7 linked regions of the Kluyveromyces lactis genome follow. The protein of the gene in region 2 interacts with the protein of the main gene of each other region in a biochemical or structural test. Links are inferred from orthologs where the notes say so. Each region holds a gene or a part of one and is shown on either strand. Other genes may lie near its edges. The genes, in order: MCM2, MCM10, MCM6, MCM4, MCM7, CDC7 and CDC45.

Region 1 (4,000 bases), on a different chromosome or scaffold from region 2:
AGAATGCAGTGATCATGAAACCAGTCCTCATTGCACTCCAAGCCAAGGACGCATTGTAACATCGTTGTCGTTGTATTCGGGTCATACTCTCTATGGCAAGAGCAAAATAACCCTTTGAAATTCTGGCCATACCTGTTACTCATGTCTGGTATATCTGGTGTAGTATTCTTTCTTATATTACAAGGTGTGAACTTCTCACCGTGTTCAAACTGCCTTTCTGTACCGCAATCGCAACTGAAATTCCTCTTATCGAAAAGTTCCACCAAGTCACAGGTACTGTGACACTGAATAGAGCATGAATAGCACACTCCTATACTGTTGCAAGTACGACATGCGAATATTGGCTGTCGAATTGGGCCCATGGAATAAGTGCAATGGCTTGGATCATATGGCATCAGTTTATTTGCTTCATCTTCCAGTTCCTCCTGTCGCTTCACATATTCTTTAACGCTAATCTCGCTCATTCCCTAACACCAACAAGACTATCTTTAAGTGCCAGAACTCACCTTGTAGTAAGAAATGCGTGAATGAAGGTACCCTTTTTGCCTTTAACTTGACGTGTTCCTTATGTTTAAATTTGGGGATATTTCATTGATAGTAAGAGATTTTCCATGTCGATGAATCAATATTCCGTATGATTTTACGTCAATATCGACACATTTGGACGGTTACCGGATGGAAATCGATCTAATATGGGGCACAAAATGCATCACATCATTCCAGAGCTTCAACATCCATACTTTACCTGCAATTGTGTTGCTTCATCGTGTGATTGGAGCTATAAGTACGGTTTTTAAGCGTATGATCCCATGTGATTATCACGTGATCCACGCATCATAATAAAGAAATTATACTAATCAAATGTAGATTGCAAAGCTAAAAGAGGTGAGAACTACCGATTGGTGTTATTGGAATATTGCCATTGCTGTATTATTAGCCCCAACGCTCTACAATGGTCAGATCGTTGCAAAACACCATTTTAGGAAATGTTATTGTTTCAATTAAAGATCATTTTCGTACATTCAACTGAAGAAAAAAGCCGGAAAAAACGTTAAGATCTTAAGATAGCTTTAGATCCCAATGGTCTGAAACAAAGTGTAACAAGTAGGTCATCGAAGCATCAGGAAGACAATTGTGTGATCGGATTTGGTAGTGCGATAATTGAAGATTATTAATTGCTGTTTTTGAAAGTGTTTCAAGATGTCTGATAATGATGAAATAAATAACGGAAGGAGGAGAAGAAGAAGAGCTGATGATGATGAGGATGAGGATGATTCTTTGTCTACACAACCCCGTGAAGGTGGCGCTAACATCCCTAGTTCTCCACAGTTTGAAGACCCGCTTGGATCTCCAGATGAGATAGATTTTGAGAATCCAGATAACGATGGAGATGAAGCTGTCAATGTTCAAGAGGATCTTGAAGATGTGGAAGAAAGAATGAATGAAGTCGATTTGATGGGTGATGATATGTACCGTGATTACGCTTCAAACACAGAACATGATACGTATGAAAGAAGAGGAGTCGACGACCAGGAGCAGCAAGAGTTGTCGCTCGCTGAGCGTAGAAGAATCGATGCACAATTGAACGAGAGAGATCGTTTGGTGCATAGGAACACAGCATACCTTGATGATGATGATGGCGAAGGAGCTGGTGCGCATAATTTGGATGCTATGGGTCTTCCAGTACAGAGGAGACGTAGAAGACGTCAATACGAAGAAGCAGATGATGATTTGTTATCAGATATGGATATAGATCCGTTGGCAGATGAGCTCTCGTTGGAATCTTTGGCAGATGTGAAGGCATCAAGTTATTCTGAATGGATCACTCAACCGAATGTATCACGTACTATTGCCAGAGAGTTGAAATCGTTTTTGCTTGAATATACTGATGAGTCAGGTAAATCCGTTTACGGTGCTCGTATCAGAACTCTCGGTGAAATGAACTCTGAATCCTTGGAAGTTAATTATAGACATTTGGTAGAATCCAAGGCCATTCTAGCCCTATTTTTAGCCAAATCTCCCGAAGAAATGTTGAAAATATTTGATACAGTGGCTATGGAAGCTACACAACTACACTATCCCGATTATACTCGTATTCACTCGGAAATTCACGTAAGAATCTCGGATTTCCCTAGTATATTGAACTTACGTGCTTTACGTGAAACTCATTTGAATTCTTTAGTTAGAGTTAGTGGTGTCGTGACAAGAAGAACTGGTGTCTTCCCACAACTTAAATACGTTAAATTCAACTGTTTGAAATGTGGTGCCACACTTGGGCCTTACTATCAGGATTCAAATGAAGAAATTAAAATCTCGTTCTGCACAAATTGTAGATCTAAGGGTCCCTTCAGAATTAATATGGAAAAAACTCTGTACCGTAATTACCAAAGAATCACCATCCAAGAATCACCAGGGTCTGTTCCAGCCGGTAGATTACCACGTCACAGAGAAGTCATTTTGTTGTGGGACTTGGTTGATATCGCAAAACCTGGTGAAGAAGTCGAAGTGACAGGAATCTATAAGAACACATATGACGGTAATTTGAATGCAAAGAACGGGTTCCCCGTTTTCGCAACAGTACTGGAAGCCAATTCAGTGAAGAGAAGAGAAGGCGGATTGCATGATGGTGATGAACACGAAGGGCTGGATGCCTTCAGTTGGACAGAAGACGAAGAGCGTGAATTCAGAAAGATGTCTCGTGACAGAGGAATCATCGATAAAATCATTTCATCAATGGCTCCATCTATTTATGGGCACAGGGATATCAAGACAGCAATTGCATGTTCTTTATTCGGAGGTGTTCCTAAAAACATTAACGGTAAGCATTCCATCCGTGGTGACATAAACATTCTACTTCTCGGTGATCCAGGTACTGCCAAGTCCCAAATTTTGAAATACGTGGAAAAAACTGCCAACAGAGCTGTCTTCGCTACAGGTCAAGGTGCTTCTGCAGTCGGTTTGACAGCTTCTGTCAGGAAGGACCAAATAACTAAAGAGTGGACTCTTGAAGGTGGTGCGTTAGTGCTTGCGGATAAGGGTGTTTGTTTGATTGATGAATTCGATAAGATGAACGATCAGGATCGTACTTCTATTCACGAAGCAATGGAACAGCAAAGTATATCCATCTCTAAGGCAGGTATCGTTACCACGTTACAAGCCAGATGCTCTATTTTAGCTGCCGCCAACCCGATCGGTGGTCGTTACAACTCTACTCTTCCGTTATCACAAAATGTCAATTTGACTGAACCAATTTTGTCAAGATTCGATATCCTCTGCGTGGTAAGAGATTTGGTTGATGAAGAAAGTGATAATCGGCTAGCATCTTTCGTCGTTGATTCACATATCAGGTCTCATCCAGACAAGGATCTGGATGATTTTGATGATGGTAACGTTCCAACGGAAAATCCTAATGGGGAGGGTGATGAAGAAACTCCGTTATCTGCCAAACAAAGACGCTTGCAGAACCTTCGTAAAAGAGAAGAAGAAATTTCGCCCATATCTCAGCATATGCTAATGAAGTATATTCATTACGCAAGAACTAAAGTTTACCCTAAGTTACATCAAATGGATATGGACAAAGTGAGTAGGGTTTATGCTGATTTGAGACGAGAGAGTGTCACTACTGGTTCATTCCCGATCACCGTTCGTCATTTGGAATCTATCTTAAGAATTGCTGAAGCCTTCGCGAAAATGAGATTATCAGAATTCGTTTCCTCATGGGATTTAGACAGAGCAATTAAAGTAACAGTGGACAGTTTTGTGGGTGCACAAAAGATTAGTGTACGTCGCCAACTACAAAGATCTTTCGCTGTTTATACTATGGGAACAATGTGAAATCAAGATTCAACATTTCCAACGGAAGAAAACAATTCTATAAGCTCAGAACAACAATATACCGTTCCCATTTTTTCCATTATAGATGCAGTACTACATCGCTTATATTAGCATAATATACAAATTTGTAACTAATAGACTTAAATAATGATTACTTCAACCTTCA
Region 2 (3,813 bases):
GGCATTGAAAGGTTTAGAGTTGCTAGCCAGCGAATTTTAAGAGAATACAAGCTCGAATCTCGCGTCTCTATTCCCGATATTCTGGAAGGATCTTTTAGTTATTTTGCGTTAATAAATACCACAAATCTGGAGCCAACTTATATGCCATCTCCCGATTCTGATCCATTGGAATCACAACTACATGTATTGGCATACCAGTCTTCTCTGGATAGAGTAGAATTCCAGAAAAGGGTATTTATGGGTTATTCAAATACGAAGCATTCAAACATCTTACAGAATGGAACGTTTTACAGACCACTGCCATTTTGTTTTAACGTCGAAGTACTAGACGATCCGTCACAAAAGAGCAACTTTGAAGTTTGCTGTGATGGGCAACTTCTTAACTTACTAGAGTTAGAGGGAAAGAATACTCCACCATCCACGATAAGAATTGAGACTTGTACGGAGCCATCATTAAAAGTACTACATTCTTTATAATATATTAAACCTTACATTATTGTCTATATAATTTCCAAATCATCACTTGAGCCTTCATCTTTATCGAGCCGCTCTTGGCTGCCTTTCATTATTTCATTGAAGATAGCGTTTCTCTTTTCAATTTTCTCTTTCAATTGTTTCTTCGAAGGTTTCAGGCTAACATTATCTTTCTTTATATTGCAAATATCCGTTATCGCCAGCTGTTTATCATTCTTTGGCGCCTTATTCTCTGTAGAATATTCAAGCATCTCTAAAGACGCTTTCCCTTTTGTTGGGTCATAACCAATTTGGTTCGCTAAACCATGTTGGAACATGCTCAACGTCGCAGTCTTTTTTGCTTCTTGATTGACTCGGTCTTCCTTCTTTGACAACAATTTGTCGGATAGACCCTTTAACTTTTTCTCCAAGTTTCGATTGTTTCTGAGTTCTTGAATTTTGCGTCTTTTGTTATCAAGGTTGGCCAGTATGTCAGGATTTTCGTAGTCGTCATCGAAAAACGCGGTAGAGGCATTTGCAGAACTGAAGAGGAATCTGTTGGTCTCTGCAGCTGCCGGTTCTCGTACAAACGGTTTATCAGGATTTTGTTGATATCTTATGGATGTTTTACCATTATTGTGTTGTGATTTTACAATAGTCTGTTGATATCCTTTGACAACTGGCGCTCTCATTGCCACAGAGCTACTAATTTCAACTCTTCTAGAACTGTTTTGCCTCATTTTTGCCTCTTTATGATATGCACAGTAGTTATCATGCAATTTGTTTATTGGCGCACCACATAGCTTGCCTTTGTTCTTCATGTAAAATTGGCACAATCCGAATTCCTTACTGTGACCTAGTTCCAGTATATTATTGGTGTCTTTACTAACTTTTAACGAAAATGTAGCGTAACTAGGGCTTGCTCCCGCTTCCAGTTTCTTGGAAGGCATTATTTCAGGGTTAAGTATAGCAATCAAATCACCTAATCTTAGTTTGTAATACTTTTCAACTATACTTTTCCCAAAGAAAATAACATTCAGTTCAAATTGGAAATCACTTATGGTTAGGCTGAAGAATTTCACCGGTTTCACAGAATTTGTCATTCTTGGTTCAGTTTTCTTTGAGATGATACCCAATACCAACCAATTGGGATAATCAGGTTCAGAGAACTTAGGGGCTCTCACCTTACTGAAGAGCTTTGGAAGTCGAAGCACTTTTATGTTTTTAGTATGTTTCCTAAGTACGGCCAACGGTACATACCTTCTGTCTATAACCAGACCACTCAAATCATCTTTTTCATCAACAGTAATTGGTTCATATTCATCGAACATGTCGCCATTGAATGTGTAAACTCGATGTGCCAATAATTCTTTCTTCCTTTTAATCGCTTCATGTTCATTTGTATTGATGGAGCGAAGTTTTTCAGTAAAGTAAGAAGTGGTACCCAACTTTTTGACCTTTTCCCTTACATAATCCTCATTAACATTAAATGTAGCTTCCTCTATATCTGCTACTGGCGCAATATGTTTGATATCCTCTATTCCTTTTGTAGCATTATCTGATTTCTTAGGAGACTCTGGAACGTCGATAGAATCGAAATTAGGGTCTTTGAGGTTTCTCTTCTTCTCTAGTTCCAACAGCCGGTTAGTTAAATCTCGTTTCTCAGTGTCAATTTCAACAATTCTTCGTTTCACTTTGATTTAATGATTGGTTATAATATGTTAGTAGGATATTCTAATGTCATTGATCTCGGTAACCATTATTATTAGAACATACCTCTTTCGATTTCAGATTCATCATCAGATAATTCCTCGTACGGGTCGAACGCCGTAATTTCTCTCGGGTCAGTTAGATCATATGACATGATGCATCTTCACTGTTACCTATACTCGATAGCTTCTGTAACTATTCTCGTTCATTCTTTACTTGTGGGATGTCATTATTTTGTTTTCTCGTTTGAATATCTGTGGAAAGTAATACTAGTATTTTTTACATGTTGAAAACGAATGGTCAAATAATGATACATAATAGAAAAAAATTAAATAGAACTTCGGTAATATTAACAGCCATAAAATCGTCTGGAGAATCAGGCTTCCTGACCATCCTCAGTATCACTTTCAGGCTCTTTGTGACGTTTCTCAGGCTGTTCTGTTGCGGTGTCGTCTATGGGTCTCTTATTAGGAGAAATTTCTGACGTTGAGAAGGGACTAGTGAATGTTGAATGAGAGCCAAATACAGGGGCCTGGAATGCTGCACTCATATTAGAAGTGTCATTCTCTACAGGTTTAATTGTGGACTTTTGTTGTTCTAAATTCCTGATCTTGCTTTCCAAAAATTTCAATTTCAAGGAAACTTGCTGTTTCCCTTCTTCGAAAGATTTTTGTTTTATTTCTGCCAAATCTGCTTCAAATTGCTTACGCATGGAATCCTTAAGTGCATTCAATTCTGCACGATGCTTTTCTAGAGTAATGGCATCATTTCCGATCTCTCCTGCCAATTTTTGGGCCTTTTCGTTTACCTTTTCTTCAAAGGACTCTTCTAAAACAGCTTTTCTTGCCTCAACTATTTTATCAATCTTTTGTTGAGTAGGTAACCTGATCCGTTTCTTGAGGGCTTCTTCTGCTAATTTAATTTTTTCCAGAGTCTGCTTCTCATATTCTTTTTCCCATTCATTCTTCAAAGCATCGATGTCTATATCCAAGGTAGGCTGCGAAGGAGACTGGACAGTAGTCTTTTCGCACTCTTCACGAATTCTCTTTTCTCTTTCTTCAAACTGTTTCCGGAGCTCTTCCTCTCTGGAATTCCAAGCAGATTCTTTTTCTGCCTCAAACTTGCTCCTCAATTCTTTTTCTTTATCTTTTATTAATTGTTCTTTTTCAGCTTCAAATTCTGTTTTCAAATTATCCACTATTGACTTCGTGTCTTCGTTGATAACTGGCGTATGATGTTCAGCTACTATTTTTTGAGCGTTGGAGGCTTCGGCTTCAAGCTCCTGTATTTTACTATTTAACATTTCCACAGTCTCAGTCAACGATTTTATTTTTTCATCTGAATCTGCATTATTCTGTTCGGTCTTGGAAGCATTTTCCATTTGAACCTGAATAGAATGTAGATCTTCCTGCAATTTAGATAATTGAGAGTTAAAAGTCTGTTCCTTTGTTTCTGCTTCTTGCGTTACCACTTGTAATCTTTCTTCTAACTCTTTGCAAGCGGTCTTACATTTTCCTAAATCGGCCTCCACTTGAGATTTAGCTTCATTGATTTGGTTTATTTCTGATGATAAAGATTGTTCCTTTTCCTTGGAGGCATTCAATCTATCACGTGCTTGAAGCCTAATTCTTTGGAACTTCGATTCCCAGT
Region 3 (4,223 bases), on a different chromosome or scaffold from region 2:
GAACATCATATTGAAAATCGTGAATGTGAAGCTATTTTGCCAACTTTCAAGGGTAACCTGAAGAAGAGTAAAAAGTGTGGGAAGTTGAAAATGATCATGACCTCTGATGGACAGTCACGTTTCATTTCCAACCAAGCAACTATCAGCGAAGCCAAGGTGCCTATCAGCAACTTCATGCCAGAAAATAGGAAGAAGTTATCGAGTGAGTATTCTAAACCGGCTTCTGCCTCCCCGCCCATCAAACAAACCATATCTGACCTGGCTTTGGATAACACTTTTGCTCTGGCTTCAATACCACTAAACTACAATGGAAATATCAATGGAAATATCAATGAACATAACGACAATCAGAATTACGGTCATTTCGAAAACCAAGTGTATGGCAACGGTGTCCCATCTCTCGCTCCCTCGAACTCTGTCCCCTTCACAGGACAACCACAACTAATACCTCATTCGGGATCTCAAAATACAGCTACTCATTTACGCAAATGTACACAACCATTCGATGAATTCTCCTCATTGAACAAATCACCAGTTGAAGATGCAGCTTTGGACACCGTACGGTCTATCTCATCCCAATCCTCCCATGAACATACTGTTCTCCATAAAGAAATGAACTTCATATCTACCGATCAAAAGTCACAAATAAATCCTGATTGGGAAGTACTCCCCCTCGACATCGAGCAAGCAGGCATGTCTATGGAAGAAGAAGTGAAATTCACGAATAACTCGAATGAACCTAAGATTAATACTACTTTACAAAGACAAATGAATGAGTACGCTCTGGGTGAGAGGCACTTCAGAGAAACTCAGCAATTCATGAACTTTTTCAATTATACTTACAATTACCAAGAATGATTGAATCTTTTTCCATTCGGCTTTTCAGTGGACCTATGTCCACATTAACATTTTCGGTTTATTTTATCTGGTTACATTTTTTTCTTTTCTTTCGATTTTAGATTCATTTTCACTTCACCATTAATGCAACTGACTGTCAGGGGGGCTATTTTATCCCTGGCCAGCTTTCTAAAATCCTCGCGTCCATATACTTATATCGCTTAAATAAGATGAATTCTTACCTACGTATCATTAATTTTTATTATCAATTCACCGATGTTTTATCTTCTCCCTATCGAATCAAAAAGAAAAAATTCCATTAAATTGAACTTTGCTGCATTGGTTATCGATATGTTATGGTCGATAGTCAATGGTTTTCCTCGTGTTATACCTCAGTTAACTAATTTTGGATACTTGCAATACCTCTTTAGGAAAAGTAATATTGAATCGCCTTAACTCAGAAATTAAAAAAATGATTTTACATGTTGAAACACTTAAAACATGATCTTCAATGTGAAGGGCATCCAGGTTGAACGGCTCATCCAAAACCGGACATAGTTGGAGCAAGCTGAAAAAATCAGCAACAATGTCGGCACCATCAAGTCCTTTTCAACATGGTCAGCAATCATCCCAGCCTCCCTCTAGTGTAGGTGCTTATGATAGTTCACAATTCGATGATCAGTCGTTAGGAAACAGAACTCCCCAGTTTCCATCTTCTTCCAGAGGAGTGTCAGATGGAAATAGACATTTCGGTACTGATGACACTAGGCAAGGCATTAATTCAGAATCACAAATAGAGGCTATGGAAAATGATTCACAAGAAATTACTCCATTAGCCGGGATCAGGCAGAAAAACTTGAATGCCATCAAAAAGGTTGATGATAAAACTGGTGAAACTGTAAGAGAGGCATTCGAACATTTCTTGTCAAATTTCACCGCCCTCAATGATGAAACAGGTGAGATGGAGAAGGTTTATAGAGTCCAAATTGAATATATGAGATGGTACGAATTGAATACCATATACGTTGACTATAAACATTTGGCCGAGGTGGAAGACGGAGCTTTAGCGGTTGCTATTTTACAACAGTATTACAGATTTTTGCCATTCCTTTTATCTGGGCTAAGAAATGTGGTGAAGAAGTACGCTCCTGGATTATTATTAACATCTGACTCTGTACTTCCTTCTCAATCTCAAGAGAATTCTCAGGACCGCTCTTCGCAAAGAATAGATTCATCTTTGCCAACTTCGCAGGCTGCCACCGCAGGAGGCACTGCCCCATCTACCATTGCCACTAATCCAGATCAGGTTGAACGTGTTTTGCAAATCAGTTTCCTGAATCTCCCAACTGTCCATAGAATCAGAGATATTAGGGCTAATAAGATTGGTTCTTTAATGGCTATTTCAGGCACAGTCACGAGAACTTCGGAAATTAGACCAGAATTATACAAAGCCAGTTTTACATGCGAATTGTGTCGAGCTGTTATTGACAATGTGGAACAAGTTTTCAAGTACACTGAACCAACCTCTTGTCCAAATCCAACATGTGAGAACCAATCTTTCTGGTCATTAAACGTGAACAGGTCCAAATTCTTGGATTGGCAAAAGGTAAGAATTCAAGAAAATTCCAATGAAATTCCATCCGGTTCTATGCCAAGAACCTTAGATATTATTCTTCGTGGTGACTGTGTCGAAAGAGCTAAACCAGGTGATAGATGTAAATTTATTGGTACTGAAATTGTCGTTCCAGACGTTAGTCAACTTGGTTTGCCTGGTGTTAAAGCAAGTTCGACTCCAGATTCTAGAGGTATCTCACGGACAACGGAAGGATTGAACTCAGGTATTTCTGGGCTCAAATCATTAGGTGTTAGAGATTTAACTTACAAAATATCGTTTTTGGCATGCCATGTTGAAAATGTTGGTACCAGTTTCAATGGTAGTAGGATTAATGAGGAGGACGCCGATAAGACATCCAAATTTGATTATATTAACTTGAGAAACTATCAAAACTATGAAATGGCGGCAGAAACTGATCAAGAAATTTTCCTAACAAGGCTTGATTCTGACGAAATTAATGAATTAAAAGAGATGGTGAAAGATGAGAATATTTATGACAAACTGGTGAAATCGATTGCACCAGCAGTTTTCGGGCATGAAACCATTAAGAAAGGTATCCTTTTACAAATGCTTAGCGGTGTTCATAAAACTACTGTAGAAGGCATTAAATTGAGAGGTGACATTAATATTTGTATCGTTGGTGATCCGTCCACCTCAAAATCTCAATTCCTAAAATACGTCTGTAACTTCTCTCCAAGAGCCGTTTATACTTCCGGTAAAGCATCTTCAGCGGCTGGTTTGACTGCAGCTGTGGTGAAAGATGAAGAAGGTGGTGATTTCACTATTGAAGCTGGTGCGTTAATGTTGGCAGATAATGGTGTTTGTTGTATCGACGAATTTGACAAGATGGATATCGCAGATCAAGTTGCTATTCATGAAGCCATGGAACAGCAAACCATTTCGATTGCCAAAGCTGGTATTCATGCAACATTAAATGCCAGAACTTCAATTTTGGCTGCCGCTAATCCCGTCGGCGGTAGGTACAATAGGAAACTGACTTTAAGATCTAATTTGAACATGTCTGCACCAATTATGTCCAGATTCGATTTATTCTTTGTCATTCTTGATGATTGCAATGAGAAGATCGATACTGAGCTAGCTTCCCACATCGTAGACTTGCACATGAAGAGGGACTCTGCTATTAATCCACCATTCTCAGCAGAACAATTGAGTCGTTATATCAACTATGCCAAGACTTTCAAGCCGGTAATGACTAAAGAAGCTCGTGACTACCTAGTCAAAAGATATACAGAACTAAGGAAAGACGATGCGCAGGGGTACAGTAAATCTTCGTACCGTATAACTGTCAGACAACTGGAATCATTAATCAGATTAAGTGAAGCTATTGCTCGTGCTAATTGCGTGGATGAAATTGTTCCGAGCTTTGTCGCTGAGGCGTACGATTTGTTGAGACAGAGTATCATCCGTGTTGATGTTGATGACGTTGAAATTGAAGATGACGATAACTCCCCAGAAGAAAGTACGGAGGGTGAGGGCACAATACCTGCCACACAACACTTCGGCGAAACACTTGATACACAATCTCAGTCACCTTCTCAACCACTGAACGCCGACTCCGAAACGGGGGGTGGTCCTGACGTAGAGTCTCATGACAACGCTCATCACACAACACATAAAGTCGCAATATCATATGATAAATACGTGGAAATGATGAATCTAATTGTACGGAAAGTGGTTGACAGAGAAAAGAATGAAGAACCTGAAATGACAAAAACTGAGATAGTAGATTGGTATTTACAACAGAAAGAAA
Region 4 (3,991 bases), on a different chromosome or scaffold from region 2:
GATGATATATACACAGAACGTATGTATATAAGCAGAACATGCGGAAGGTCGTTATTCTCATTTAGCCCTTTGCAAACTATGTAGAGGCTTTCTCAGAAAAACTAGACTTGATAATATCTATTCATACACGGCCATTCAAACGAATTGATCTTCTTAGACCTTCTCCTAAGATTACTACCTTGTCTTCTTGTTGCAATCTTGTCAAAGCGTTTGATAATTCGATACTCTCCACTTTATCTTGCGATTGTTCGTTTATAAGCTTGCTTAGTTCGTTGAAACTTATTGTGTCTGTTGTCCTTTCTGTCAATATCTTTAAAATTTCTCTCGCCAAGTCTTCAAGCAATTTTCTTTGCACAACCGATTTACCAGTTTGTACAAGGTTCATATCAATTTTACCAGTTTTAGGATCCGTAGCGTAATCTTTGATGGCAGACTTTATCAGTCTCACTGCTTCTTCCACATCTTCAAGTTCAACTCTTTCACTTAACCTCATCTTAGCATGAGCTTCTGAAAGTCTAATCATACTTTCTAACTGTCTTGTTGTTGCGGTAATTCTTTTTTCATCTGATCTACTGTCATCACCCATCTTTCTCATACCGACATATGCCCTCACAAGTTCAGTCTTGGCTGACTCAGTTATTACCGGGTGAATGTTTTGTTTTGCATAGTTGATGTAGGCTGTCAAGAATTCAACTGGTAGAATATCACCTTGAGATACAGAATCCGGTCTGTCTTCCAGGTATAAACTGGTTAAATGCTTAGCGAGTTCACGATCAGACGCTTCGTTGACCTTGTCAAGCACTAGATAAACGAGATCAAATCTTGATAATAATGGAGGCGGCAAATCAATATTTTCAGTCACAGGAAGATTAGGATTGTACCTAGAGTTGATAGGATTGGCACTAGCCAGAATTGAAGTTCTAGCATTTAAAGTTGTAATAATACCTGCTTTTGCAATAGAGATTGTTTGTTGTTCCATAACTTCATGTAATACTGATCTAGTATTATCGTTCATCTTATCAAATTCATCAATACAACACACACCACCGTCAGAGAGAACTAAAGCACCACTTTCCAACACCAGTTGCTTAGTATCCACATCTCTTGTAACATAAGCAGTTAAACCAACAGCAGAGGAACCCTTACCCGAAGTGTAAACACCACGAGGAGCAATCTTATGAACATATTGTAAAATTTGAGATTTAGAGGTCGAAGGATCACCACATAGTAGAATATTAATGTCACCTCTATATCTTCCACCTTTCTTGAAAGTTTTATTAGCACCACCAAAGAGTTGTAATAAGATTCCCTTCTTGACGTCATCTAACTCGTAAATACTTGGTGCGATGGAACGTGACAAAACATCATAGACATCCGATCGGCGAGCAGTTTCTTTGATCCTCCTAATGTCTTCGCTACTCAAAGTTCTAATCTCTTCCACATTATCAATCTGGTTCTGCAAGAGTTGTTGTTCAACAGTAGAAGTGTCCACACCGACTCTATCTTTAGCCACCTTTTGGATATGAACCACATCGATGTATGTCTTGTATAGAGATTTGAGGGCTCTTTGCTTTGGATTCGACCTGATTGGAATAGATCTAAAGATACCTGAAACCTCAATTCTATCACCAGCACGACACGAATCAACCAGCTCATCATATACACATAGGGAAACAGAGTGTGGAGTTTGTCCATCAGGGACTAGATCAGGCGTTTCTTGTAACTTTATCACTTGTCTGTCTTGGAAAGTGCACCTATTGTGAACTAAAACCATGGAGTTTGGGCTATTACAGACCACTCTGGGACATCTCACTGGTTCTTGAATAATACCACGATCGATCTCAACTTCTACAGTATGATTGCATACGTTACATTTGAAAAATGCAACACTCATATCTGGGATAATAGGTGTGGATCTTAGAACTAAACCTTTGATACTCACCAATTTATCAATATCATTAGGATTAAGCTCTCTCATACCCTTTTTGGTTTCCACATTATATGGTCTCACTTTGAACAACTTCGATTCAATTTCATTCAAGTAACTCTCTAACCCATTATCAAGTGCTAAGGATACCATACAATCTTTAACAGTTTGATCCATAATAGCTATAATTTCTTGAGGGTAATAGAGAATCTGATGAAACAACTTTTCAGTATGTTTATAAGCCAGTAAATTTCTGATATCAAGGTTCAAGTTTGAAGTACCGAGTTGTCTCATTTGATTCAATTGATTCACATAATACAGCTCTTGGTCTGTTGTTTCGTTGATGAAAATCTCCTGATCATCTAGCTCCTTTCTATATTTCAACTTGAAAGACATCAAAAATTCTCTGAAACTGTTACCACACTCTTGGATCGAAACATTGGTACCCCAGATGATCTTCAAAGGTTGATCAGCAGCTTCAGATGCAGGTCTCGATGATGATGAAAATCCATTATCCGATGAGGAAAGGTTATTGAAAGTGACAATTCTTCTGGGAGATGATAAGTCAGATGCATTAATTTCGCCTCTTCTAGATCTAGAGTGTCTTCCCTCTCTTGCACTTGAGGATAGAGAGGATGAATAGTTCAATAGATCAGATCTCAAATTGTTAGATCTTAAACCACTGCTACTAGGAGCGGCGCGAGCCGTCTCTTGCGTGGCATTTGACGAAGACGAAGGATAGTGAAACGGAGAAGAGCCTACGCCTCGGTCTTGAGATGCCTGGGAATCCTGTGTACCATGAGGAGCTGGAGAAGAGCTAGGATCATAAAACAAATTTGGTGAACTTGGTTGTTGAGCTGGAGGTGAGGACATAATATTGTTAACCGTTTGTCTTCCTGTGTTCTATGGATATATACTGCCACTATTATCCAAATGCTAATTCAGCAATTTTATCAAACCTACTAAGCAGCTAAATAATCCTAGGTTCCCTGATATATCACCTTTCAATTGATAATGTTATCTTGTTTGAGATGCTTTGAGTGAACTAAGTGAAACTCGTTAAGATTTTACACATTTTTGGTTACATAGTTACATTTCCTAAAGAAGAAAACAGAACAAATTGAAATAAACAAGGTTCTAATGAGCCCTTGCCACCGTTGATAATACCATGGATCCACTCAGCTCAATGGTCAGTATCTTCGCCGATCAGAATTGGAGTTGCATTATTTGAAGAGGGAACAATGATCACGTGATGTACAATTGTTCTGTTTTAAAAGAAATTAACCTTTAAAATGAAATAAAGTGGTAACAAGAACTCTGTCAGAGGCGAGAGATAAGCGAACCACTTTCGCCAGTGTGACTCAATTCTTCTGCACAATATCATTATTCAACGTGAATTTATTGTACTTTCGTTTAGTTGTGTTTTTGTCCCGTTTGGAAACTGGTAAGAAGTGATGAATCCCACTGTTAGTGATGAACGAGATCGGGCAGAGAGAATTAGACTCAGCATAATGGGGCCTCAAACGAGGTCCAGTCGAATGAGCTATCGGATATCAAGGTTCAAGTCTACGCACACTCTGTACATACTATTACTTGCTTCTTTGGCTGTATTGCAGTTTATTTCCATAGCATTTTTCGCAAAAGGGTTCCTTTTAACAAGGACGGTGTTGGATAACGTTGCAGAACTTGATCCCCAGCTTCCCTTCGAAGCTAAATACGATAAGATGGTTTTACTAATAGTGGACGCATTGAGGTTTGATTTCGTTATTCCAGTAGATGAAAATCATGCCAAGTACAACCCTAATTATCATAACAATTTGAAAGTTCTTTATGAGACGGCCCATAACTCAACGGATTCTGTCTTGTTGAAGTTTTTGGCTGATCCTCCCACAACTACGCTACAAAGATTAAAGGGATTGACAACAGGTTCCTTGCCTACATTTATAGATGCAGGATCGAATTTCAATGGTGATGTGATCGATGAGGATAACTTAATAAAACAGCTTTATCTGCATAACAAGAAAATATTCTTTGCCGGTGATGACACTTGGGATGCCCTATTTA
Region 5 (4,224 bases), on a different chromosome or scaffold from region 2:
CTTGTCTCTTGAATATCGTACTGGCAATCATCTCGTAATAGGTGTATATGTATATAGTTTGAGTTTTATGTTTGTGTTTAACCTCGTGACAATACACATACATATATTTAAATCCTAATATAAAATATACTCTATCACAAGAACCGAATCTTCAACTATTCACATTTCATACTTCTTATATATAAAACTAGAACCGAAAACCATCTTAGTGTAACGATACTAACACTCTGTGTGCATATTAATCTCGGGCTAAACGAAGCATAAAAAAGTCAAACCAAAAACAGTTAAAATGCTAAAGATAACGAGGTAACTGTCAGAAAGTCAGTCTGAGACAGCTGTTCTAACCTGATTTCCAGTTTTAAGGTACATTACAGTACAATGCAGATACTCAGCTAGGCGAATTTTTTTTATTTTGAGAATTTTTTGTTGGCTTTTTCTTTTGCATCTTAGAAACGTGTGTAGGACTGAGAGTTTTGTGCGAAATCTTGAGTGTGTGGACTGAGAAACGGTGAAATAAATGTGGTCTGACTAAGTGTCATTGTGAACGACGCCGACACATAGGGCTGTGCCGGGGCCTGTACCCTTTTCCACACAGTAGTAATAATAATAAACATTAGCTTCGGTGATGTTTAACGGCATAAACTGTAAACTATTGGTATGCCGGTCCGTATGTAGTGCATTTTTGCAACACGTAAACTGGGAAGGAGCTAAATTGATTTTTTAAATTGATTTCTCAAATTTAAGGGTGCGGTTTACGCGTTTGTTTACGTTTTTTGACGTTTACGTACGGTACAACGCGTAAAATGTAAACAATTTATGGGGGGCGGGGAGGTAATAAATTACACCTGGTTTACGCGTTGCGATGACATACCTCTCGTTTACCAAGGGCTATCCCTGAGGGCAGGGGCGGCGGTACACTTTGAGCGAGGGGAAATGTTGAATTTCAGTTTCTGAAACTGGGGTGTCCATTTACGAATGCCAAATTCCTATACTATATCCATTGTCCACTCGATTGGCCCATTGAACACTTGTTAGGCTTAGATAATGCAATGTTAAGGTTGTTTTCACCCAATTTTTGAGGTTACTGCCTCTCTATACCGGGGGTCCAGCCAAGCCAATGTGGTCGTTTATGAAAAGTACTGAAAATTGAAAAATTGAATTGCAATTTCAAATTAAAAATAGACTATAAGAGGGAGGGTAATTATGTTGGTATGTTTTGTCACGTGGTTGTGTCCGGGTAATGCGTCTTTCATCTTCTACCCGATTAGGAACTGTAAAATAAAAATCACTTTCGTTTTTCCAATTGATCTTTGAAACATTTACGCATACACTTTCTGCTAATCTTCAACAACTTCTCCGTTATCAGTTTTCCTACTGTCTGCTGCCACTCACACCAACCAACGATTCAGAACACCACCAGTACCATGGCTTCATCGGTTTTGCCCACACTGGATCTCGGAATTGACTACGAGGTAGCTCAAGATAATATCAAAGATTTCTTGATCCATTACAAAGAGGAAACTATCGGTTCTACTGGGGAGAACGATAATGACGATAACTTGGATCCTGAAGTTGGTCAGGGCCCAAAGTACTTGCAACAATTGCAACATATTGCCAATAGAGAACAAGATATCTTGTATATCGAATTGGACGATGTGTACCATTATCAGCGCACCAAGCAATTTGAAAATTTGTCTTCGTCAAATACAGCAGCACAAGGCAAGAACTTAGTTAACTTACACCGTATCATCATGGAAAACACTAAGCGGTTCACAGAACTTTTCTCCAACTGTGTAGATGAACTATTGCCGCCTCCAACGAAAGATATCGATTACGAAACAGATGTATTGGACGTCATTTTACACCAACGAAGATTGAGAAACGAAAGAAATATCTTGGAAACTAGAGATGAATTCCAACAAATGGCTCAAGGGATGGGCGAAGAGTCTCAAACCAATTTGGATCAATTGGCCACTACGGACGCTGATTTGTTCCCTGCTGCGTTGATTAGGAGATATCATTTGTATTTTAAACCGTTAACCAGCAGATCCACTAGGAAACTGAAACCAATGTCAGTAAGAGAAATTAAAGGCTCTTATTTGGGAAAATTGATTACAGTCCGTGGTATCATTACCAGAGTCTCTGATGTGAAGCCAAGTGTCACAGTCAACGCTTATACTTGTGATCAGTGCGGTCATGAAGTGTTCCAAGAAGTTAATAAAAGAACTTTTACCCCAATAATAGAATGTCCCTCTGCCCAATGTTCCGAAAATCAAACTAAGGGACAATTGTTCATGAGTACTAGGGCATCAAAGTTCAGTGCATTCCAAGAATGTAAAATTCAAGAACTATCAGATCAAGTGCCCATCGGGCATATCCCAAGGACATTAACTATTCACATTAATGGGCCATTAACTAGATCCATGATTCCAGGTGATGTGGTAGATGTTACTGGTATATATCTACCTTCACCATACACTGGTTTCCGTGCTTTGAAAGCTGGTCTATTAACGGAAACGTACCTAGAGACACAGTTTGTGTACCAGCATAAGAAAAAATTCGCATCTTTCCAAGTTGATGATCAATTGAAAGAAAGAGTAGCGAAAATCGTCAACCAAGGTGATGTTTATAACCGTTTGGCTAAATCAATTGCTCCAGAAATTTACGGTAATCTCGATGTTAAGAAATCTTTATTGTTATTATTAGTGGGCGGTGTTGAAAAAAAAGTCGGGGATGGTCTAAAAATCAGAGGTGATATTAACATTTGCTTGATGGGTGATCCTGGTGTTGCTAAATCTCAATTATTGAAATCTATCTGTAAAATTTCTCCGAGAGGTGTCTATACAACTGGTAAGGGTTCTTCTGGTGTAGGTCTAACAGCCGCCGTTATGAAGGATCCAGTGACTGATGAAATGGTGCTAGAAGGTGGTGCCCTCGTCCTTGCCGATAACGGTATCTGTTGTATCGATGAATTTGATAAGATGGATGAAAGTGATAGAACTGCTATCCATGAAGTTATGGAACAACAAACCATTTCAATTTCTAAGGCAGGTATTAACACTACTTTAAATGCCAGAGCCTCCATATTGGCAGCTGCTAACCCGCTATACGGAAGGTATAATCCAAGGTTATCTCCACTTGAAAATATTAATCTACCAGCAGCTCTTTTGTCTAGATTCGATATCATGTTTTTACTACTCGATATGCCAAGCAAAGAAAACGATGAGAAGTTAGCAGAACACGTCACGTACGTTCATATGTATGACAGGCAACCTGATTTTGGTTTCGAACCAATTCCTTCGAGCGAAATGAGAGAGTATATTGCATACGCCAAGACTAAGAGACCTGTGTTGTCAGCTGATGTCAATGAACACATAGTTCTATCTTATACAAGAATGAGACAAGACTCTAAGAAAGCGTTGGATTCTAAATTCTCGTTTGGGCAAGCAACACCTAGAACTTTACTTGCAATTATCAGACTATCACAGGCCTTGGCAAAACTAAGGCTCAGTGACACTGTGGAAATTGAAGATGTAGACGAAGCTTTGAGGTTGGTAGAAGTCTCTAAAGAGTCATTATACAGCGACCGCAAGAACCCATATGAAGATGAAAACCCAACAACCAGAATTTACACAATTATCAAGAAAATGGCGACTGAAAATGGTAGATTTAATAAAAGATTACCGTATGATGCTATTGTAAGAACGATTAGATCAAGAGGTTTCACTATGCTGCAACTGGTAAGCTGTATCAAAGAGTATGAGTATCTTAATGTTTGGCATCAAATAGAAGACGGAAACACCTTGCTATTTATTGACGATATTGATGATACAACGGAAGACAATTCTGATATAACTAACCCTTCGACGCAAAGGACACCGGATGAAGATGTCGATATGGAATAATACCTGACTATCTGCATACCACTAATCTGTTTTGATCCAATAATGCCTTTATTCCTTATTTTAGTTTTAAACCTAGTTTAACGACAAATTTGTATTACTATATACTAACGTTTAAGTAACTTCTAATGTGCCTCTTCTCCCAGATAGACTGAACGATGCAGAAGTAATCACAGTCTATCTTTCAAAACCAAAATTAATTTGTCGAATTCAAAATCTATCTATTTTGTGCATAAACCTAGCTTATGCCATCTACTACTTAGTCTAAGGTAAGTTTACATATTTGTTTACAACTTCTGAAACCTCAGAGAGTAGTTCTTGT
Region 6 (3,392 bases), on a different chromosome or scaffold from region 2:
GTTGTTCAAACTACTTGTCGCTCCAAATTACACTTTTGAATCTTGGGCTTGGATGTTTTTCACTTTGTTGTTCAAGTTGAACTTATTCTCAGTTCTTTTCCTTGTTGTCTCGGTGGTTCAGATGTACTTGTGGGCTCAAAAGAAAAACAAGAAATATGGTACCAAGAGAGCATTCTTGATCCCATTCTTGTTCTGAATTCACCAATTACTATCACCACATACATATTTGACTTGGGGTATTATAGCATTCTCTCTTAAGTGAATAACGCTGTTTTACTCGTTTATTTACGCACTTGTTCTCTAACTTATGCCGTCAAAGCGTTGGCAACGTTTGTAAACTAAATATAATAATGATGATGAATGCAAAGTATTAAATTACTCTATCGGTTAAAGAACTCTATATATGAATGCATGTATATAAAAAATGAGTTCTGCTCTAAGTTATTGCGGTGAATATATGCTAATTTTCGTCAAATATTTTTGTTTCGTTCTGGATTTCATTACTCAACGACCCCGGTGAAGTGATCTTCTCTTCTTTGATCTCTATCAAGTAAATCTTCGTTCAGTTCTTTGAACCATAAATGTTCAAGAAGATCACTGGCGCTGGGTCTTTTGTATGAATTGAGTTCGAAACATTTTGCCAAGAGATCAAAACACCAAAAATGATCGTCCCAAACTGCTTGTTTGTAGCTCCGTATTTTATCATCAATATCCTCTTCATCGTCTGGGCCTAAACTTGGCGTGAGTTGTTTGTCAAATTGTGTCAAATAATCCAACGTCTCGAACGCTATGGAATACTCTGGTAATGTTCCTTCCTCCACTTCTTTGTCAAGTAAAGCTCTCACAAAACCTTGTAGCCCCCCAGGATATCCTTCCGAATGGAAACCTGGAACCTTTGTCATGTCTAGTCCCAACCCATGGAACTTGGCGACTTCTTGCATGGGCTTGATTCCAAAAATGCAACATATCTCCAGAAAGGCGTCAATATCATCCATGCTTTGAAAGATTGGGAACCTTCTGCTGATGAAACTTAACAGTATCACACCAACTGACCAAATGTCAATTTTTTGAGTTTGGAAAGAACATTTCATAAGCACTTCTGGCGCTCTGAACCCTCTCGTACCAGCTCTATTAGCTCTACGCTGCCTCCTAGTTTCATGTTTTGGGTACCCCTTACTCAATTCTGCCTTCATGAGATTCTCACTTTGTGCAGCACTTAATTCATTTGCCCCTCTAACGTTAAGCTGCCCGTTCTGAATGGATATCAACGGCAGATGTGATGTCTTTTTGTTGTTAGCATACGGTGAAGAACAATTACAAACCTTCTCTCCCTGGTCATTAACATACACACGATAGTTGAGGTCAGGCAAGTACAACTCTTCATTCTCTTCAGCCAAACCAAAGTCTACTAACACACCTCTCCCAAGTATTGGGTTGTATAGGAAATTGGTTGGCTTCACGTCTCTGTGAATGATTCCAAATGAGTGCACGTATTTCAAGGCGCTTAAAAGTTCAAACATGTACTTCTTTATCCCCTTGATAGGCATGTCTCGGTAGAAATGCCGGAATTCTTCATGCGGATACCAGGGCAAGACGACAACCACCTGATCCTGGTATCGAATCGCGTCGCATAATGGTGCTACGTTATTCGAATTTGACAGTAACTCTAAGAGTTTAAGTTCATTTTCAATTCTGTTCGGCGAGCTTGTCACGTATATCCTCTTGATAGCCACATGTTTACTATTCTTATCCCAGAAATGATCAGGGTATAACCTTCCAGATACGTTGCTAAGATCTTGAGCTTTATATACCGATGAAAAGGTCCCCTCTCCGATCTTATCCAGTAGCTTGTATCTGGATGACAACTGTGGTACCTTATCGTACAAATCATCCATTTCCTGGATGATTTCAGCGGGAATGTCATCCATAATTATAGTGTGTATATTGCCACCTAATATGAAGCCTAACAGACGAGCTGTATACCCATTGGTTTGACTCTACAAGAACAGATACGCTATATCCGTTGATTCTTTTATTCTATGCATTTTTTGGCGATGTTTTCATTTTTATTGTCGAAACCAAATATAATAACAAACAGCAGTAGTTCACATTGAAATGACATATATTAATGAACAGAAACAGGACGTTAAAAGGGGAATTGTCGAATAAAAGGACATTTACACACAAAGCAACCTTCATGTATAACTTATTAAATATGAAGTTTACATGGTTATGGGTATTTTCGCTTGTGATTGTCTGTCAAAGCTCACCAATAACGGTACAATTACAGAAGAATGGGAAAGAATGTGTTTACATTGATGTTGATGACAGTGACTGCAAAATATCTTATTACTTCGCAGTACAAGAGGGAGAAAACAATGCCTTCAGAGTAAGCTATGAATTATGGTCTCCGGACGATACAGAGTATCCTATGATTTACAAAGATGACGAAGAGCAAGGGCAATGGACATTTCCTGCGAAACATACTGGTGAATATGCGTTATGTGTCATTGGTGATGAATATCCTAAGATTGTTGATTTAGACATTGTACAGATATGTTTCGATCAGATACCGAAGCCAGCAGATCCTCGTTTGATAGGAGAGACGATAGATAGTTCACTGGTGAGGACACTGCAAGATTCTGTAAATATAATAGAGGATCAGCTTCAAGTCTTGGAAAGAAATTTGAAGCTGTACAAATCACGTGCAGAAAGAAACCACCACACTGTTAAATCAATAGCATCGAGGTTGGTCACCATATCAATTTGCTCCATAGTTCTTGTACCGACGATTGCTGTTCTAGAAATTATAATAATGAAGTATATTCTAGGTAAATTTAAATCATAAGTGATATATATATAATATGTATATCATGCATCAAATAAAGGTAATTCAAAATTGAAGAAAAAAAAATGATTAGAAGATGGGGTACTTCATGTTCTTCTGCGTTCAAGAATTGTCTGGCCGGGAGGGTTTTTATTATGTCCCATGCCGTCAAGTTCAAAAGCCAATTTTCCTCTAACATAGGTGTTTCTCACTAAACCTTTCAGTTTGAACCCATCATAGGCTGTCAGTTTGTTTTTGAAATAAACTTTATCGTTGTCGACAGTCTGATAGGTATTGATGTCGAAGATAACAAAATCTGCGTCGTATCCAGTTCTTAGGAAACCCTTCCTGTGATCAAGACCAACTTGCTTACTGGTGTTCTCGCAACACCATTGAATGATTTCAGCGATGGAAGCACCGTTAGTGTATAGTAATGGTAGTCCCAACCCGACGGATGCAATTCCTCCCCATGCACTAAAAAAATCACCTTTTGCGAGGTCTTTTAGCTCCGGTATACATGGAGAATGGTCACTTACTACAGAAGTGATTAGACCTTCTCTTAAGG
Region 7 (3,777 bases), on a different chromosome or scaffold from region 2:
TGTTTCTATTGCGTTCATTCTTGTAATTCAACGGAGTGTAGAGCGAAGAGTCGCTGAATACATTTGCCGATGTGCCCATCCCAACGTTGAAATCCTCATCTGTTGAGTGTTTGACATGTTTGATCCTGCGGAACTGCGGGCTTTTCCAGGGTGGCAGACGCGGAAGATCTATGTTGTGCTCCATGTATTAACTTAAGAGCCTGAACAGCTACAGTTGAGGGGTTGAAGGCTGGTTCTTGGCAACATTTTGCCTATAATTATGACAAATTATTGTGGGTATTTTAGAATGCTTACCTTTGACTGACATTTGTGGCATTGGTTTAATGATCACGTGATATCAATGGTAAACCTAACAGATTTCAAACAGCTTGGACATCCCATAGTAGTGTCAATTTCGAGGTATCTGATTAGATTGTTACATAATATATATATATATATTAGATTTAAAGCCGAAAGCTCACCTCATGATATGCCTAAATTAATATGTTTGTGTCTTCGTGCTAAATCAATCCGCTTAATGTCAAACGTTCAAGGAATGGTTGTAGATCGTCTTTCCTGATTTCAATAATTGATGTCTCGAAATTGTCAATCCTTACTTTGGCACCTGTCTCAGCTGCTATTTGTTGAAATGCCACTGTGAAATTATTTAAAGTTTTCTGCTGTTGTTGTTGTAAAATGTCCAACCCTCTTGGGTACCTTGGCGCAATCCCTGCACAAAGATATGTGTCAGAAGTCTCATCTAAAGTTGCCAATACCAGTGGAAGTAACTGTTTTTCGTCATTTTCTGCATAGTATTCAATGAGCCATGATCCCAGCCTCAATAACGTTAATGGATTTCTATATAAATGCAAATCTGGTCCATCTTGTAAAACACATAGCCTGTAAATCCTTAAATGTTTCACTAATCTTTTCTCCAGAATAGCGACTCCAGTTTCAAATACACTTCTTTGTAAAAATGTTGCATGCTTAATCCCCTGAGATAAAATATCCATATTATTGTCCAATACATCCCAACTTGACCAAAAATTTGCAATCCATTTTTTTTGCCTTGTCTTCAGTATTCTGTTAATTTTTTGCTCTTCAGCTTCTTCGTACTCCCTATTCTCTTCATCACCTTGGTTCGTATCATCTTTTTGAGATACATTAGCTGTTGTCAAATTTTCTAGTGCGTTTGAAGCATTGCCAACTTCAAGTAAAGCGGTTATCGATTCGACAAATTCACTGGCACTTATTGATCCTCGGTAACCGAAAGTTCTCAAGAACCCATCTCGTACAATATCTTGTAACCCGTATCTATCGAGATTTTTATCGAAAAGTACGCCCAGATCTCTCTTGAAATTATTGTCCATATATATCCAGTTTTCCTGTGTAACACTCAGCGGAATACCCATGCGTGCAAACATTTTATGCAGTCTTTTCTTGCCATTTTCATTCCACAGTGACAGTTTGGCGTTGACGTAGTTAGAATAATAAAAACTATCATATAAGGATGTATGCCTCAGAAGGAATAAACTGTAATCGGGACGAATCTCAAGATTCAAAGAATCTGGCGTTTTAGTTTTTTCACTAGGTGTCAATCTTTTTACTTCATCTTTCAGAAGTGGTAATAGTCGATTGTATACCAACGGGAAGGAATTATCCAAAGAGGACACTCCTAGAATGCATAACCATAAATAATCTAGATTTGTCTCACCAATACCAGACAAAAGAGAATATATCTGAACTGAAAGGGAGTTCAGCACCGTTGATCCCTGTGAATAGTACTCCTGTAACACTTTTTCTAAGTTGTGAAACTCTCGCTTTCGTTGTTTATGTGATTTTTTTGGATTCAATTCATCGCTGGACCTTTTACCCAATACTACGTCATCGTCATCGTCATCGTCATCGTCATCGTCGTCTTTATCCTCATTTTGCGTTTCCCTGTCATCTTCCTCTTCCTCGCTATCACTGTCATCGTCCAATTCATCGCCAAGTTCGTTCTCTATCTCTATAAGTTTGTAGTATGCTTTCTTTTGCTCTGTCAAAGACTCTTCGACTGTTCCATCATCGAAACAGGTTATGCACTGTGAACCAAATAAATTATCCAAATTCCACGGTCTATGACAATCAAGCACAAATATCTCCTTCTTAAATTTCTGAACAACGTCAGTCTTATCTAATTGAATCTCATCTAATGGACCCTGCGTGTTTTCTTGTGGATCAATCTCTAAAAAAGATTCAAGATCTACCATCCCTCCACAACCTACAAATATAACGCTATTGATATTTTCGTCCAGTCTCTGATAGTGATCCTTCAATTCCGAATAACCAAACACGGGAACTAACTGTGATTGTACCAATTGCTTCTTGAATAGACTGGATAGCATCTTCGATGCACATAACGCGTCAATGTTTAAACACGAAACAAAAATCACCAACTGACATGAAGAATGAGAACTGCATCGGTGAAGAATTTTATCATAAGCACCCACAAATTCAGCAATGCCAATATACATCCTCTACCTGGCACTTTGATGGCCTGCAGTGGTTTTGTTTGCAGTCTCTTTTCCCTCGTGAGCTAGTCATCTCATGTATTTACATAAATTTCTTTAAAATATTGGTTTGGAATACTTACACGTTTAAAGATTTTTGGAAAATCGATTACTTGTCATAAATGGCATACATGCGAAATATTCGAAATATTCGAAGAGATGCCAAGATTTACAAGACTATAGGTACTAAACACTGCTATCTGATATTTCATATTGCAGTATTACGAAATACGAAGATCTTAACTTACTATGAAACTACTGGGAACAATAATTGGTTCAGCATTCTTTTTACAAGCTGTGTCTGGATTCTTTTTCGATTCAGGTCACCAGAATAGACAGCAACAGCAGCAACAGCAGCAACAGCGGGATGTTGGCTCTTACCAGCAAATGTTCCTAGATAATGACTGTCCGCATTATTTATGTCCACAGACATTGGATTGTGTGAGACAGAAGTCGGATTGTGCGTGTCCGTTCCCTAATTCACAATTGAAATGCAATCTACCCAACGGTCAGGTAATTTGCATCTCAAAGCCAGCAACACATGATCCAACACTGGTAGAGATTTATGATGATCCAGTAATGGGACCAGCTCAACGTACTGAGGGATTCAGAGATTGTGGATGGATCTTGGATGTATATGACGGCAAGATTTAGAATGAGAGATCTTTCTTTCTGTATCGGCCATAATACTATTACAAACATAAACTGATAATATATATAGAGACATATAATACAGACCATTACTGTATTTAATGCAATTAACTAGCATGGGTTTATTTTTACTCGTTTGAGTTCTTCGCGGAAAAGATCGTTACCGGTTCGGAACAGTTAATCTCTGTTCTTACCTGCAACCCATCTTTTGTATAACAATTCATGGATTTTAAAGTTTCTGAAAAGCTCATCGTACTTTGATTGCTTCCAAAGTTCCATTAAGTCATCTTCAGGTATGAGTTGTTCAACGTAGCATAATACAAACTGTTTCTTGGCTCCGCCCACGACTCTGGCAGCGCTTGAATACCAAGTGTAATCATTTGACTGGTTTGCATCCAAAACCATGATTCCATACTCCGCATGTTGGAAAGGGGGTCCTCTTCTGTATAATAAGTATTCGCAACCAAATTTTATCCCCGATCGTACACACCACCCTTTGGACCTGTAATGATGGTACGCGACATATTGATGAATTAATTTCTTGATGTCTTGGAAACTTTTCGGTTCCAGTACCAACGAAACCATTAATTGTTGC

Evidence for each region.
Region 1: the proteins of MCM10 (region 2) and MCM2 form a complex in vitro, tested with the Saccharomyces cerevisiae proteins (5 studies listed by BioGRID). The link is inferred for Kluyveromyces lactis from reciprocal best matches to the Saccharomyces cerevisiae genes MCM10 and MCM2.
Region 3: the proteins of MCM10 (region 2) and MCM6 form a complex in vitro, tested with the Saccharomyces cerevisiae proteins (4 studies listed by BioGRID). The link is inferred for Kluyveromyces lactis from reciprocal best matches to the Saccharomyces cerevisiae genes MCM10 and MCM6.
Region 4: the proteins of MCM10 (region 2) and MCM4 form a complex in vitro, tested with the Saccharomyces cerevisiae proteins (3 studies listed by BioGRID). The link is inferred for Kluyveromyces lactis from reciprocal best matches to the Saccharomyces cerevisiae genes MCM10 and MCM4.
Region 5: the proteins of MCM10 (region 2) and MCM7 form a complex in vitro, tested with the Saccharomyces cerevisiae proteins (2 studies listed by BioGRID). The link is inferred for Kluyveromyces lactis from reciprocal best matches to the Saccharomyces cerevisiae genes MCM10 and MCM7.
Region 6: the proteins of MCM10 (region 2) and CDC7 form a complex in vitro, tested with the Saccharomyces cerevisiae proteins (2 studies listed by BioGRID). The link is inferred for Kluyveromyces lactis from reciprocal best matches to the Saccharomyces cerevisiae genes MCM10 and CDC7.
Region 7: the proteins of MCM10 (region 2) and CDC45 form a complex in vitro, tested with the Saccharomyces cerevisiae proteins (4 studies listed by BioGRID). The link is inferred for Kluyveromyces lactis from reciprocal best matches to the Saccharomyces cerevisiae genes MCM10 and CDC45.

Annotation. Positions count from the first base shown.
Region 1 is NC_006042.1:1,165,544-1,169,543, reverse strand, and holds MCM2 (MCM DNA helicase complex subunit MCM2), read left to right. Parts: upstream 1-1,200; coding exon 1,201-3,834; downstream 3,835-4,000. Other genes in the region: KLLA0_F12606g (uncharacterized protein), read right to left, coding at 1-464. UniProt on the Saccharomyces cerevisiae protein: Acts as a component of the MCM2-7 complex (MCM complex) which is the putative replicative helicase essential for 'once per cell cycle' DNA replication initiation and elongation in eukaryotic cells.
Region 2 is NC_006037.1:50,765-54,577, forward strand, and holds MCM10 (Mcm10p), read right to left. Parts: upstream 2,318-3,813; coding exon 2,230-2,317; intron 2,147-2,229; coding exon 501-2,146; downstream 1-500. Other genes in the region: KLLA0_A00550g (uncharacterized protein), read left to right, coding at 1-477; MLP2 (Mlp2p), read right to left, coding at 2,540-3,813. UniProt on the Saccharomyces cerevisiae protein: Required for DNA synthesis. Required for entry into or completion of S phase. Involved in DNA replication and seems to participate in the activation of the pre-replication complex (pre-RC) and in transcription elongation.
Region 3 is NC_006042.1:935,830-940,052, reverse strand, and holds the start of MCM6 (MCM DNA helicase complex subunit MCM6), read left to right. Parts: upstream 1-1,423; coding exon 1,424-4,223. Other genes in the region: KLLA0_F10109g (C2H2-type zinc finger protein), read left to right, coding at 1-858. UniProt on the Saccharomyces cerevisiae protein: Acts as a component of the MCM2-7 complex (MCM complex) which is the putative replicative helicase essential for 'once per cell cycle' DNA replication initiation and elongation in eukaryotic cells.
Region 4 is NC_006039.1:1,537,586-1,541,576, forward strand, and holds MCM4 (MCM DNA helicase complex subunit MCM4), read right to left. Parts: upstream 2,801-3,991; coding exon 122-2,800; downstream 1-121. Other genes in the region: mannose-ethanolamine phosphotransferase GPI13, read left to right, coding at 3,382-3,991. UniProt on the Saccharomyces cerevisiae protein: Acts as a component of the MCM2-7 complex (MCM complex) which is the putative replicative helicase essential for 'once per cell cycle' DNA replication initiation and elongation in eukaryotic cells.
Region 5 is NC_006041.1:2,065,526-2,069,749, reverse strand, and holds MCM7 (DNA replication licensing factor MCM7), read left to right. Parts: upstream 1-1,424; coding exon 1,425-3,905; downstream 3,906-4,224. Other genes in the region: KLLA0_E23211g (uncharacterized protein), read right to left, coding at 1-103; AAH1 (adenine deaminase), read right to left, coding at 4,167-4,224. UniProt on the Saccharomyces cerevisiae protein: Acts as a component of the MCM2-7 complex (MCM complex) which is the putative replicative helicase essential for 'once per cell cycle' DNA replication initiation and elongation in eukaryotic cells.
Region 6 is NC_006039.1:396,435-399,826, reverse strand, and holds CDC7 (serine/threonine protein kinase CDC7), read right to left. Parts: upstream 1,929-3,392; coding exon 501-1,928; downstream 1-500. Other genes in the region: trans-2-enoyl-CoA reductase (NADPH) TSC13, read left to right, coding at 1-196; ERP3 (Erp3p), read left to right, coding at 2,129-2,848; DAL1 (allantoinase), read right to left, coding at 2,935-3,392. UniProt on the Saccharomyces cerevisiae protein: Serine/threonine-protein kinase. Needed for the initiation of DNA synthesis during mitosis as well as for synaptonemal complex formation and commitment to recombination during meiosis. Required for HTA1-HTB1 locus transcription repression.
Region 7 is NC_006042.1:1,834,515-1,838,291, forward strand, and holds CDC45 (DNA replication initiation factor CDC45), read right to left. Parts: upstream 2,496-3,777; coding exon 501-2,495; downstream 1-500. Other genes in the region: KLLA0_F19800g (uncharacterized protein), read right to left, coding at 1-184; LCL2 (Lcl2p), read left to right, coding at 2,781-3,185; tRNA splicing endonuclease subunit SEN2, read right to left, coding at 3,360-3,777. UniProt on the Saccharomyces cerevisiae protein: Required for initiation of chromosomal DNA replication. Acts at the origin of replication. Also has a role in minichromosome maintenance.